Oreochromis niloticus: one gene and its partner. The protein of the gene in region 1 purifies or fractionates together with the protein of each later gene. This does not show direct contact. Links are inferred from orthologs where the notes say so. Each region holds a gene or a part of one and is shown on either strand. Other genes may lie near its edges.

Region 1 (5,311 bases):
ACACGAGTCATCCTGAGAGCGTTCTCTGTTATCACTACACTTCAACACGGTCTTTGACAGGCTGAGCGCCCCCAGGTGGGTTGTCAACTGCACAGCTTTAAAGGAGGATACCTCTGGGAGAGCTCCCCTCTGGATAGAAATGATTGCACTTTCAGGACAGAAGTCTCATTTAATCACATCGCTGACTCTGAATTGTTGTTAAATTTGAGGAGAAATCTGCTGCTCGGTGGAGGAGAGGGGAATAGCTACAAAGAAATGTTCCATGCTTCTGGGCTTGTTGGACTGGCACTGGTGGTGAAAACGCTCCAAAACATTTTAATGATGTAAAATGCCACTATGCTCTTGGTTGCACTTTTGACTTTTTATTTTTTTTAACAGCACATGTAAAAAATGTGCTGGTTGTTAAAGTGTAATTTATTAATATGTTGGACTCACTAAACAAGTGCTATTTATTTGAACCCCTACAACTAGTCATCATAGCTGCGTTACACTATAATATAGAGACATTAAGGTGTGTTTTCTATACAAATGTAATTTTCAACACATAGTTTAAGTAAGTTGTCTTGATCTAGCTATAATGTCCATTCATGATTGCTTCGACATTGGCTTTAGAATAATGTTAAATGTTGTATCTTATATAAAAACCCGAAAAGATCATATTGTACTTTTATTTTTACAAAGGTGCTTTCTCTGGAGTATCATATCTTCACTTTACTTTTGAAAATCTAACCAGCCACCTTATTTATCAAGCCAGAAGGTGATTTTTAAACTTTTGAAAGCCTCACAGTCTTCTGTCGGGGGGAAAACAGCAACGCGATCAGGCGTGCTCTCCTCTTCTCGTGCTTCTACAGACTTCATTGTTGTAATAGCGATCATTACTGTGCAGGACATGTTGTGTTAAATGCCTCAAAAGGGTTGCGGGTGAAATCGTTTGCAGAGAATGCTGACATGTGATTAGTTCCTAATAATGAACTAATATAGTAAAGCATTTCCTGTGTGAACATTTGGGATTGTTATTATAATGTAATATTTTTTAGATATATGTAAGCCACACTAAACTATTTCTGCAGTTTATATTTAAAAAAAGGAGATTGGTGTGTCTCAGTGTTCACTAATGCTGTGCTCAGGCAAAGCAAGAGGACTCGGTGTGGGGTAGAGTTGAAATACGGTACTCAGGGTTTTAATGAAATCTACTAGCAGCCACAGGTTTTAAGAAAGCGTTTGCATACTTTGAAGGCAAATAGATCCAGTATGTGAAGTTGTACATATGTTTTAGGGCCAATTGAGCCTTGTCTGAAAACATGAAAATAATCTGCATTAACTATGAGACTTCAGAAAAAACAAACTTAATAAATGGTTGGTTTTTTTAATTATAATTCTTTTTTTAATAAAAGGATTTTGAAAGGGGTGGAGGTGGAGGCTCTGTTGTCGAGGGGCATGGGCTTTACAAAACAATTCATCTAAAGGCACATAAAGCAAACGTTATGAATAAAGATTTGTGGCTGTATTGTGAAACGAAAAGTGGCTGCAAAATCGATGACTTCTGTTATATTTTAAATATTTAATTTATTGCAAATAAATTATTTTTTAAGCATCATCTTTGTACCTGAGTCCGTTCATTGTATTTTCAATAAACCATAAGAGGTTCCTTTTTATGATGCACTTGCATGTCTGTAAAGGCGCATGGGCTACAGTGTAACATTAAAAGAACGTAACTTCCTGTACCTGCAGTTAACTTACATGTGCTAATAAGTTTGCTTCTTTGTGGCTCTTCCCTGCATTTCATTGTCTTCGCTGACTAGCAACACCAGAATGGGCCCAAGATTTTAGGACAACTTGAGCAGAATTTGATTTTGAGGCCATAACCTCCAACTAAACCCATCACCAATATCTCATCTCAGCACCGCCAATGTTAACTAAATATTGTCTGTGCTTGAACTAATGCTTTTAAATTATACATCTACCAAAACCACTGTCATGGCTAACTAGATTGCTGGAAAGAACTCAAATAAACCAGCAATCAGTGGATTTTTAGAAAAACAAAACTGTTTTTGCAAACAAAGCTCTTAATTAAACCTGCATCATTCACCCATTTACTTTTTTCCTATGCTTAAGTGCTTTCTATCTAACATTTAGACACATATGAATACATCGGAGAACAACTTGGAGTTAGTATCTTACCCAAGGATATTTGACAAGAAGACTGGAGCAGCCAGGGATTGAACCAGTCGGCAGGGGTGCTTGTCCTTGTATCCATTGGGGTCTTTTTTGGCGGGCAAGAGGGTTGCTTCTCTGCGTCTTTGGGGAGTAGCCTGTTCTTGGATGACATTTCAAAGGATCCAGTTCTCTAAAAGACATAGCAGGGGATGGTTTCAATCCACAGCTCCACTCTGTTCATACACACCCCAGATGAGACTCAAACCCACAATCCCTGGCTTAGGAGGCCAGTGCCTTATCCATTAGGGCACTGGGACTACACAAAGCCAGAAAGAATTGAACATAACCCTCATGATACTTATCCTCCTAGTCAGTTTCTAACAGCAGGTTACCAAAAATAATGCCTGTGGTGTCTGCACAGCTACGCTACACTTTCAGTGAACTGAAAGATGTCATTGTAAGTGAATGTTAATGATAAATACCTAGTATGTTTTTGTGGCACTTTGACCTACTTTGAAACACAGTGTTTTGAACATGATCCCAGCTCCAACAGTGAAAATGATTAAACCAGTGGCATTAAGGCACCAGTCTGCTAATAAAATAGTAACAATATGTAACTTTCACTTGTACAATTACTATTGATATTTCACACACAAAAATACATCGATTAACCTGTCTTGTGTGGCATTTCATGCGGTCTTGGTGGGGGTTGTCTGCTAGCTTGGGGGCACTAAGTAATTGTTTAGTCTGCTAATGCTGCTTGCTGGCTCTCAGTTATGTTTTCATCAAAATCAAATTTACTTGAAAATGTGCACAAAAGAAATGTGGTTCCGGCTGTGATTAGCTAAAAAAGGACAGACCAGATACATTCATGGCATATAAACCAAATTATACACGGGACACATAGTACAGAGTAAGGCACTCACATACTGTATGGCCATTAAACTTGTTCTTAGTTTAAATATCTGAGGATGATAAAGATGGGGACTGCTGTTGTTAAGTTTGAGAAGAGCACAAAGGAATTCCTTTCAGACCTGCAGTAGAAGGCATTCAGGTCAATAGGTCTTTGTTTGGATGCAGTGGGGGATGGTGTCCTGTAGTTTTCCACAGTCTTGCAGGCCTCTCCATACTGATGGTCATGAGATGAGAGCACCTTTACAGCATTTTTTTTCTTTCAAGGGTAGCTTCTTTTTGAAGCAGTTTGGTTTTCACTTTAGTTTTTATTGTTAAAAATATTTGGCTTTTGTTTAGTATTAGATGTATTTATTTATTAATAAGATACTTGTTAGGAGAAATATTTAAGGAATTCTGAAAAGGTATTACAATTGGAATACAAAAAGGTCTACATGAAACTCACTTATGTAGACACACTAGTCGAAATAAATGTGTATGTATGCCCATTACATCTATGGACGGGTGGGCACATTTGACCAATGAGTAAATCTAAAAACATTTCCTGTTTGTACACAATAATGTTGGATTTCTTTCCTTTTTTTTTAAAACTTCAGTTAAATTATTAGTTATAAACAGCTTTATATTTTAGTGTAAAGTTTAATCATTTTGGCACACAGATCCTCGATGTTATTTGCCACGCTGTCAACATTTCGTCCAGGTTTTTGCACTGGTCAGCGTGTACGAAGCTTGGCTTCCAATACACATACATAAGGGGGGTTAAATGTTCCATTTAACTTTTACCGCAGAGTTGGTCTGCGCGCCAAAAAATTTAAAGTTGGAGGGAAGCTAGTCGATTGGCTTTCTGGCTCCTCCTTTTTTACTTTTGACCCACTGACAGAAAGCAGTAACAGTAACAGCCAATCGATCGTGCTTCTTCCTTTTAGGCTCCATCGTGATTGTTCACAAACCAGGAGAGATCCACCAATAGTCATTAATTTCCTCTCACGATGTTCCTCTCAGGGCCAATCAGACAATAGTACTTTTGTTCCAAAACCCAATGGCAGGTTAGGGCGGGACAAAGCATGAGGTTTATATGTAGGCTGTGAAGCGATTTTTTCATCACTAGCAAACCAGCGACTGCAGTGCTTCGATTCAGAAGAACTATTTGAGTAACCAACAATGTCTGGAAGAGGTAAAACTGGAGCAAAGGCCCGTGCCAAGGCTAAGACCCGCAGCTCTCGCGCCGGTCTGCAGTTCCCCGTCGGCCGTGTCCACCGTCTTCTCCGCAAGGGAAACTACGCAGAGAGAGTTGGCGCCGGGGCCCCAGTTTACCTGGCCGCCGTCCTGGAGTACCTCACCGCTGAGATCCTGGAGTTGGCCGGCAATGCCGCCAGAGACAACAAGAAGACTCGTATCATCCCTCGCCATCTTCAGCTGGCTGTACGCAACGACGAGGAGCTGAACAAACTCCTCGGTGGCGTGACCATCGCACAGGGAGGCGTCCTGCCCAACATCCAGGCCGTCCTGCTGCCCAAGAAGACCGGCCAGTCTGCACCGAGCTCCGGCAAAGCGGGAAAGAAGGCCTCCTCTCAGTCACAGGAGTATTAGCTTGCTAGCTAATAACTCTTAACACCCAACGGTCCTTTTAAGGGCCACTCACTCCTAATTGAAAGAGCAACTTTTCCTGATTATTGCTGTCTTACATCCCCTTTTCGCATGATTTTTATTTAATAAAAAGCCTGTTTTGTAAGAACTGTTGTATTCTGCTGATTTAAGGCTAATTGATGCTACTTGCTAGTTTTGTTGAGACTTGCTAGCCTGACCGGTTGAGCTGAATTTATCAGACTGGTGTACTCTAACCGATTATACCGTGAGCTCGAGAGTCGTAGTACAACACTAGCCATTTACCAGGGCTTTGTTTCATGATCGGGGTTAAAAAACAAAAACAAAAATGGCCTCCACTTATCAACATTTAACCCAGGTACATGGGCCAGAGCCTGCAACACCGGTTGCATTTCACCTTATTAGTAGCATGACTGTGCAGCTTTTGTGGTAGCTGATTAAATTACTTTTGGTTTGGCAGAAATGGCTCTTCAGTGTGCATCTGTGGCTGAAATAATGGTCTATGTAGGCCTATTGCACATTGCCATCTAAAGCATAATATGCTACAAATAACTCAACCTAATCTGAGTTTCGGCTCTCAAAGTGTTCATGTGCACGGAGCAGTTTTAAATTTCTATCCATTTTGAAGGGTTTCCTG
Region 2 (7,936 bases), on another chromosome or scaffold:
CCACCTCAGACACCTCAGCCAGAATAGAGCATTCAAGTCTCAGCCTTCATCTTCGCCACCACCAGTGTTTAGACTCTGAGGGGGTCTAAACACTACTATGCTGGGTCAGCAGAGTCTAATAGCCAAATACATTAATTTCCCTATCACAATAAATCATGTTCAGCTCTTCCAAGTGACCTTGCCTTATTGAACTACAACCACTGAATGAAGCACAAATTGCGTTGGAATGCAGTTCTCTGTGTCTAATGAGATAACTGTGGTTTCTAAACTATTACATTAATTTTTCTGTGTGTATTGTTGGCTGAGTGAATTTATCAGATGTCATGGGGCCCCGCAGGCTAGTACGTGGACACGGACCCAACACAGATTCAAAGACTGGAAACAGCATTAAGGTTTTCCTCACAAGCTTTATTCCTAAGCACACATGTAAACAATGGGAGGAATGCTTAACAGGGAGTCTGACATGGTGAAACTGTGGACAGAGGGAGACTGTGGTTAGAAAGGGAACAGGGGAGGCAAAGACTGGTAACATGAAAATGATTGGGTTTGCGTCTTACTTGGCAGGTATGACTCTGGAGGGAGGGGTAATGGCCAAGTGAGCGTCCTGCAAGATGAGTTAGTGGAAAACAAGGCACCAAGTACAACACAGAAACACCAAGCATGCAGCACTGCAGACTGTTACTGACACAAACTGGCAGCAAAGAGATGCTGACTCTGGTCTTAAGTACTGCCTTCCTGATTGCCTCAGATCTCCATCAGGTGAGCTGAGCAGGTGGAATAATGAGGACTCCACCCAGAGGCGGATAACAAGGAACACAGGGAAACGGTAGAAAAATTCAGGCTGTGTCCCAATTAAGAGACCGCACGCTTGAAGTACGCATTTTGAGTGCGATTACGTCACCGCCACGCGACGACGGCTGTCCCAATACAAAGGCCGTTTCTCAATTCTCAAGTACGCGAGTACGTACTCGCGTTCTCGGTGAGTACATACTCGCCAAGAATGCACGGGAGTACGTACCCGCCGAGAACGCGAGCACGGACTCGCGATATGTACAATTGGAACACCTGCGTACGTGATGATGTCACAGGTCCGGAGTTTTTACTGCCGTCCCCTCTTAATTTAACTGTGAGTAACATGTTATGAAGCTTAACTGTAATCACAGCCAAACCGGTTTACTCAGGAACAAATAAAACACTGAAATAAACCAAACATTAACATTTAGAAGTGATCTAAGTGACTTATATATCATTTTTAACCTCAGTAGTGAAACCTCTATTAATAAAAATAGTGTACATGTACATACGTGTACATACCTTAATAAAAACAAGCAGGTGAGATGTTAGAACGCTTTTATTTCTATTTTAGTGGACACTCAATACTATAGACAGCTGCTGGGGTTTCTTTAACCTGAGTAGTGAGAAGACCGCGAGCGGGGGGGGGGGGGGGGGGGGGGGGGGGGTTGAAAACGATGTGCCGGCAGTCCGCTGTTGAGTTTTGGACGAAATGCATTCTGGGATATTTAGCTGTACCAAGTCCACACCGATGCATGCTCGATAAAATGGGCGGATCGAGAACACATCCGGGACTTTTTCGCGTTCTCAGCTTGATGCGTGCTTCGAATTGGAACAGTACTTGGTCTCCGACTGATGACGTATCACGAGTACACGAGAACGCAAGTACGCACAAGTACGCATATTGAGAAACGCCCAAAGTGTACTTCAAATGCATACTCCAAATGCACCGTCGATTTCCCCAAATATCAAGCGTGGTGCACGCTTCGTGGTCCCATATATCCCACAATTCATAGCGCGGTGGTGGGTGTGGATAATTTTGCCGCAAAATACAGCAGACGGCAGAAGGGAGCTGCCGAAGAGTGAACTGTCAAAAGTAAGTACTGAATATGATGTCATTTATGTGCGAATGTTTAATAATGAAGAACATTAAAACATTACTGTTGGCCACATGTCGGCAAAGTTATGTGACATTAGCGATGTTAGTACTTTCAGTGTTAACTTGGTTTTAAAGCCTCTACTTCAATATATATATACATACATATATAGTTGACCTTAATCTTACAGAGAATGTGATAATTTCATGGATAATTAAAGTCAGTCATATATCCACAAACACAACAAGCTGAAAGTCAGTGATGCTGCTCGGTTTGCAGTCCTGAATATGACGGCACAAGCAGGATTCACTGCACTGTTAATGTTAGCTATGTTATATTGCTGCCTCTGTTCGGTGGTGTCGAGCCAAACGGACTTTAACGTGTGTTTGAACGAGCTGACGGTTCACTCGTTAAGCTGAAAGAAAGATGCTTTAATCACAGCAGTCACACATGTGTCCACTGTAGCATCTGGGAGCTCTTCTTGTTTAGCACTCGTAATAACACAAACACTAAATCCTCCTCCTCTTGTGCTGTTTTGTAGCAGTGTGTACACCTGAGACTGTCACCTGTCTGTCTGTCCTGCACTCTCTCTCTTTTTCTTTCTCTCTGATTGTGGAATAAAAGTATGAACATGTATTTATAAGTTACACTTGTGTTTGAATCCTGCAGCTCATCACAAATTTGACTTCCATGTGTGACGACTGCAAGTGTCCAGAGTGAGGACAGACTGAGGGACCCACTGCTGCACATCATCTGTGAGGCTTTGCACCCCTGATGATCCACCATGACAAACTCAGCAGTGTGTAAGGAAGAGGAGGAGGAAGAGCCAGCAGCAGCTGACAGATGGAGAGAATAGACAGACTGTTCCCTGTTTGTGAAGGACTGCTAGAAAAGTTTAAAATAACTAATTGTCTGTCCTGAATCAGTCTTATTAGGTAATGTTCAAATAATTTTATCATTCCAGTGTTTTCAGTGTGGGAGAAAGTACTCAGGGCCTTCAAGTTACACACTATGAAAGGCAGCAACAAGTTTAATATTCAGAAACCTGAAGTATGTATCAGCAGCAGAATGGAGCTAAAAATAAATGTTTGTTTCAGTTCTATGAAGCTTTGAGTATTTTGGATTAGTAGCACTGCTGTGTTTGTTGCATCATATTGCTGTAATTGTTTATATGCTTTATATATTCTGAGGTAAGTTGATCTATAGTGTTACATCATATTCTATAAGGATGTTATGTGTTTGTATAGTTTCTGCCCAGTTTGACCCATTTAGCAGAAGGCAGCCTGTTTAAGGCTCCAACTGAGGAATCCAGTGCATATGACAATGTCATGTTGGATTGCATTTTGAAAAATGACACAAAAGTTAAACACAGTGCATTTAAATGCCTAAACTTCCATATGTGATGCGCTGGAGAGAGACCATCCTCACCTCACTTTCTCTTGGTCTCAACTTCTGAAAACTTTTTTTCTGATTTCCTTTTGTGTTTGGGGAGTGTTTTGAGGATTTTACTATACTAGTACATAAGGACTATAGGCATAAACCCTTTTTTTCTGCTTGAAAAACAGGTGCAATGAAGTGGCTGTTATACTTCTACCTGGCCTGACGATCATTATCCCACTGATTTCAATGTCAGACAAAGTACTCAACACATTCCCTTCAACACTATCAGCTGCAAACAGGCTCCATGTTCATCAAAGCAGAGCAGGAGAGAAAAGGATGAAAATGCTGATAGTGATGATGACAGTGATCACTACTGTGATATCCTCAGTATTTTGATACAAGCTGATAAAAACGGCCTCTTTCTAGCATAATTCAGGGCCATTTTTCATCAAGAAAGGACAGCTGTAATCATCCCTTTTGCTTTCCTGTCCCATCCGTCTTCCCCTTTACATGCATCAGGATCAATCTAGGTTCATTTATTTTAATCATCTCTTATTTGCGAAACTGACAAAGTCAAAAGAGGACAACAGAAACAAAGTTGATTTTGAAAATGAGTCAAAGTATACATTTATACAACTACATTCTTTTGCAGCATCGTTCACAATTTTTCATTAGAAAACATAATTTTTCATCCCCCCCCCCATCTGTTTTAAATTAAGTAAGTTAATTGTCAGCATTAGATTCTCTGTTAAATTATTTTTTATCAAAAATAAGCAAAAAAAAAAAATTCCAAACATCTGACATGAGCAATGATACAATTAAAAAACAATTAATTAACAATACATTTTGAATCCTATAACTTTAAATTAAAAATGCTTAACAATTTAAGTGTAATTTTGAATCTTTGAAAAATATATGTGGATAATTTATTTGTCCACCTTTTTCATATTGATACAGTGCACCCAACCTGATTGTTCAAACCTGAAAAGTATTGTTATTCCACCATAATGTGAGAATGTTCATAAATAGATTTTAAAATGGAATTTTAAACTTTTACCATCCCCAAGAATGTTCAGTGTAGTTGACATCAATTCCAGCTCAAATAGGTACATTTTTAGAAAAGTTCTCCATAACCATCTCTGATGTGCATAAACATTTTATCTCATTTATTTTTTTTTATAGTTAGCTTTTTACACACTAACCTTTATTTTCTCTCTATTTAACTGAGTTCTTTTGTGTTATGAAGTTTTTACCTTATGGAAATTTTGTTGTGCTACATACAAATTTCAAGCTATTGATTGGTTTTAGCTGTTGTAACAGGGATTTTCCAACTTTTGGGGAAAAAAAAGTTATGTTATTCTATTGGAAGACTAAATGAAAAATTAGTAATTATTCTTTAACAATACATAAATAGATAGAAATCCCCTAAATTGGATAGTTTATGATAAAAACTTGTATACAGTAAGTGGGGGCTGTATTAATATTTTCTACGGTTCCAAACTTAGCATTGGTTTTATAGTAGGCCTACATGCACTCTATACACAATTAATGTTATCATTAAGAAAATAAAGTTTATAAACTCAGATATTATTATTTTGATTCACTAGCTCTCACGTGACTGTCATATTGTACTACGTAACTGTCCTCATAGCAACAATATGCAACCGTCGGTACGTCACCACGGTGTTCTCCATTGTCCATATACCATGCTTCTAATAGACCTGTCGTAGTGAACGTGAAGTACAGAGTGAGTCCTTCCACGTCGTCATTTATATGTATATAAAGTCAAATTGTATTTGCCGTCTGGCACAATTAACAATTATTTGTTCCCTCGAACTGTTGCTAGTTAGCTAGCCCGGCTGTACTTTGTGACTAGTAGTGATGTTGCTGGTATGCTAAATGCTAATGCTGTTGTGTTTCACGTGCAGTTTTGCATTAACTTGGTCTGATGTTAATACATTTACTTGGATCTTACTTTTCGATGCTTTTAATTGTGTCCCTATATGTATACTAAGAGCATCACGAGCATCAGGGATTCAATCAGAACGTCATAATTTAAATACAGCTAACATGCTCAGCACGATTAGCTATGGTGCTTGACGGACCAAAATGTCTGGTAAGTGTACCTCTTAGGCTGTTTTAGACGACTATCGTAGATTCTTCATTTAAAAAGAAAAACAAACATGTATCGTTCGTGAAAACAAAACCGCAGCGGTGCTATTTGTTTGCTAACAGCGTGCTAATAGGCAAGTTGCGTAGCTAAGAGCTGTACAAATCCCAACATCAGAAAACCTAGTGTCTGCAGCTGATTAACGTCGTGTTTCGTGTGGTGTTGAAGGGAAAATAATACATAGGTTTACGTCACTATTTAAAGACGCGTTTGGGAGATAACTACCCTTTTGATACAGGATACCCGAACGTTAAGGGCTCACAAGTAATTGGACGTTTGGGTGCTGAATATTTTTTTGCAGCAGCATAGATTGACTTGCATAAAGCACAAATTGAGTTTGCTTTAAATGTCTTTAAGTTTAACTCGCTGTCAATATGAGGTGCAGTCCGCACAGGTGAACTAGACCATCATTATAAAATTGAGGCAACTTTGTATTGTCGTACACAACCTACCTATGGCACTGCAGTACCTTTGGTATTTTATAGGTATATGTTTTTTCCTATGGCTAGGAGTTTTCAACCATAAAACACCTATCCTATCCTTTCAAACATAGTTTCGTGGAGTTCTCCAAAACTCAGCAGCATGTAGGCCTGTAGGCCTGATTGATTGGCAAGTGGGATTAAACTGCTTCTCCTGTTCTGGAGTTCACCAGGAATGTGAGGGGCAAGAAAAAGATTCTGTATGAAAAGCATAGACTTGGTTGCAGAAAACAGTATAGGCCTTCACAGCCTGGAACTGTCTTACTGACAAATTGTCAGTGGCTCTCTCATTGACATTTTTCAGCCCTTTATGGACACTTAAGTCTACCCCATTTTTTTTTTCCTCTTTTTTTCCCCTCAATTCAGGGAATAACCCATAGTTCACAGTGTTCCATTGTCATACTCTACGTTGTGTTCCAGCGAAGTGCTCTATTAGGGTGATGCAGTACTGTGGGGTCTTTAAGATAAGATGGGGCCTGATTATTCAAGACCTTGTATGTGATGAGAAGAACGTTAAATTTGAACCTGGATTGTCAGACAGTCACAGACAGGCAGCCAGTAAAGATAAGCCGATATAGAGAAATATGCGCTCTCTCTTTCAAGTGCCCGTCAGTACTCTTGCTGCAGCATTTTGGATCAACTGAAGGCTTTTCAGTGAGTTTTTAGGCATTTTTTTAAAATAATAGTCCAGCTTGGAAGCAAGAAATGTATGAACTAGTTTTCCAGCATCACTCTGAGAGAGGGCGTTTCTAATTTTAGAGAGATTGTGCAGAAGAAAACAGTCCTACATATTTGTTTAATATGTGCACTGAAGGCCATATCCTGGTCAAAAACAACTCAAAGACTCCTCACAGTGCTACTGGAGGTCAAGGTAGTGGCATCCAGAGGCTAGATTCCATATTTGTAAGACTTTTTTATGGCCGAGCACAATAACCTAATTTTTAATCTAAATTTAGAAGCAGAAAATTAGAGGTCATCTACCCACCTTTGAGACATTCCTGCAGTTTAACTAAATAGTGTGTGTTATCTGTTTTGGATAGATAAAGTTGAGCATCACCTGTATAGCAACAACAATGTATTCTGTGCCTTCTAATGATACAGCCTAAGGAAAGGATGTATAATGTAAAAATAATTGGTGCTAGCTAGGGCTGCTCAATTAATCGAATTTTAATCTAGATTACGATCTGGGCTTTCAACGATCATTAAAAATGACTAAGCCGATTATTAGCACCTCCCTCGTGCTTTACTCTCGCTCTGCTCCGTGTAGCAAATCGAGCGCACCTCTCTGCGTTTCGAACACGCGTCACAACAATTAAGAGGACCCGAGGGTTGCTCGGAAAGCTCGGAAAGCTAAGCAGAAGTTATTTGTAGAGGAGAGGATAATGGCTGCTGAAGAAAGAATGCCGCTGGTTGAAAAGAGAGATAAAACGACTTCAGTGGTGTGGAAACATTATGTGTTCGCGGAGTCAGACGTGGATCAAATATTGTGCAGTATTTTGAAGTTCACTAAACATAGATGTTTACATTTTTCATTTATTTTTTATATTGCAAACATTTCCACTGTAATCATTATTTGCACACTATTTTATATTATTTTTTGACATCTTTAAAGTCATTATTCAATACATTGTTATTGTTAAATAAATATCGTCAAATAATCGAGATCTCAATTTCAGTGAAAATAATCGTGATTATCATTTTTGCCATAATCGAGCAGCCCTAGTGCTAGCACAGAACCTTATGGAACTCCATAATTAATCTTAGTGTGTGAAGAGGACTCTCCATGTTTCAAACCACTTCAGCATACCTTTAATACCTACAGCATGCTGTAATCGCAGTAATAAAACATTATGGTCAGCAGTACAGAACGCTGCACTTTACATATGGGCACATAACGACCTGCCAGCATCTCCTTTTCGTAGCCCAATTTTATTTGAAATACTATCAAATAAAATATTATCACTTTTATGCTTTGTAATGATCATTAGGCAATAAAGTAAAAACAATTTTGCATGGTT

Evidence for each region. Proteins that work in one complex are often made in the same cells at the same time.
Region 2: the proteins of h2ax (region 1) and phf14 purify together in Homo sapiens (affinity purification with mass spectrometry; 3 studies listed by BioGRID and IntAct, counting the BioPlex papers as one, with this or other methods). This does not show direct contact. The link is inferred for Oreochromis niloticus from reciprocal best matches to the Homo sapiens genes H2AX and PHF14.

Annotation. Positions count from the first base shown.
Region 1 is NC_031975.2:11,780,320-11,785,630, reverse strand, and holds h2ax (histone H2AX), read left to right. Parts: upstream 1-4,153; 5' UTR 4,154-4,230; coding exon 4,231-4,659; 3' UTR 4,660-4,804; downstream 4,805-5,311. UniProt on the Homo sapiens protein: Variant histone H2A which replaces conventional H2A in a subset of nucleosomes. Nucleosomes wrap and compact DNA into chromatin, limiting DNA accessibility to the cellular machineries which require DNA as a template.
Region 2 is NC_031985.2:37,419,627-37,427,562, forward strand, and holds the start of phf14 (PHD finger protein 14), read left to right. Parts: upstream 1-4,909; 5' UTR 4,910-5,016; intron 5,017-5,284; 5' UTR 5,285-5,378; coding exon 5,379-5,385; intron 5,386-7,936. UniProt on the Homo sapiens protein: Histone-binding protein. Binds preferentially to unmodified histone H3 but can also bind to a lesser extent to histone H3 trimethylated at 'Lys-9' (H3K9me3) as well as to histone H3 monomethylated at 'Lys-27' (H3K27ac) and trimethylated at 'Lys-27' (H3K27me3).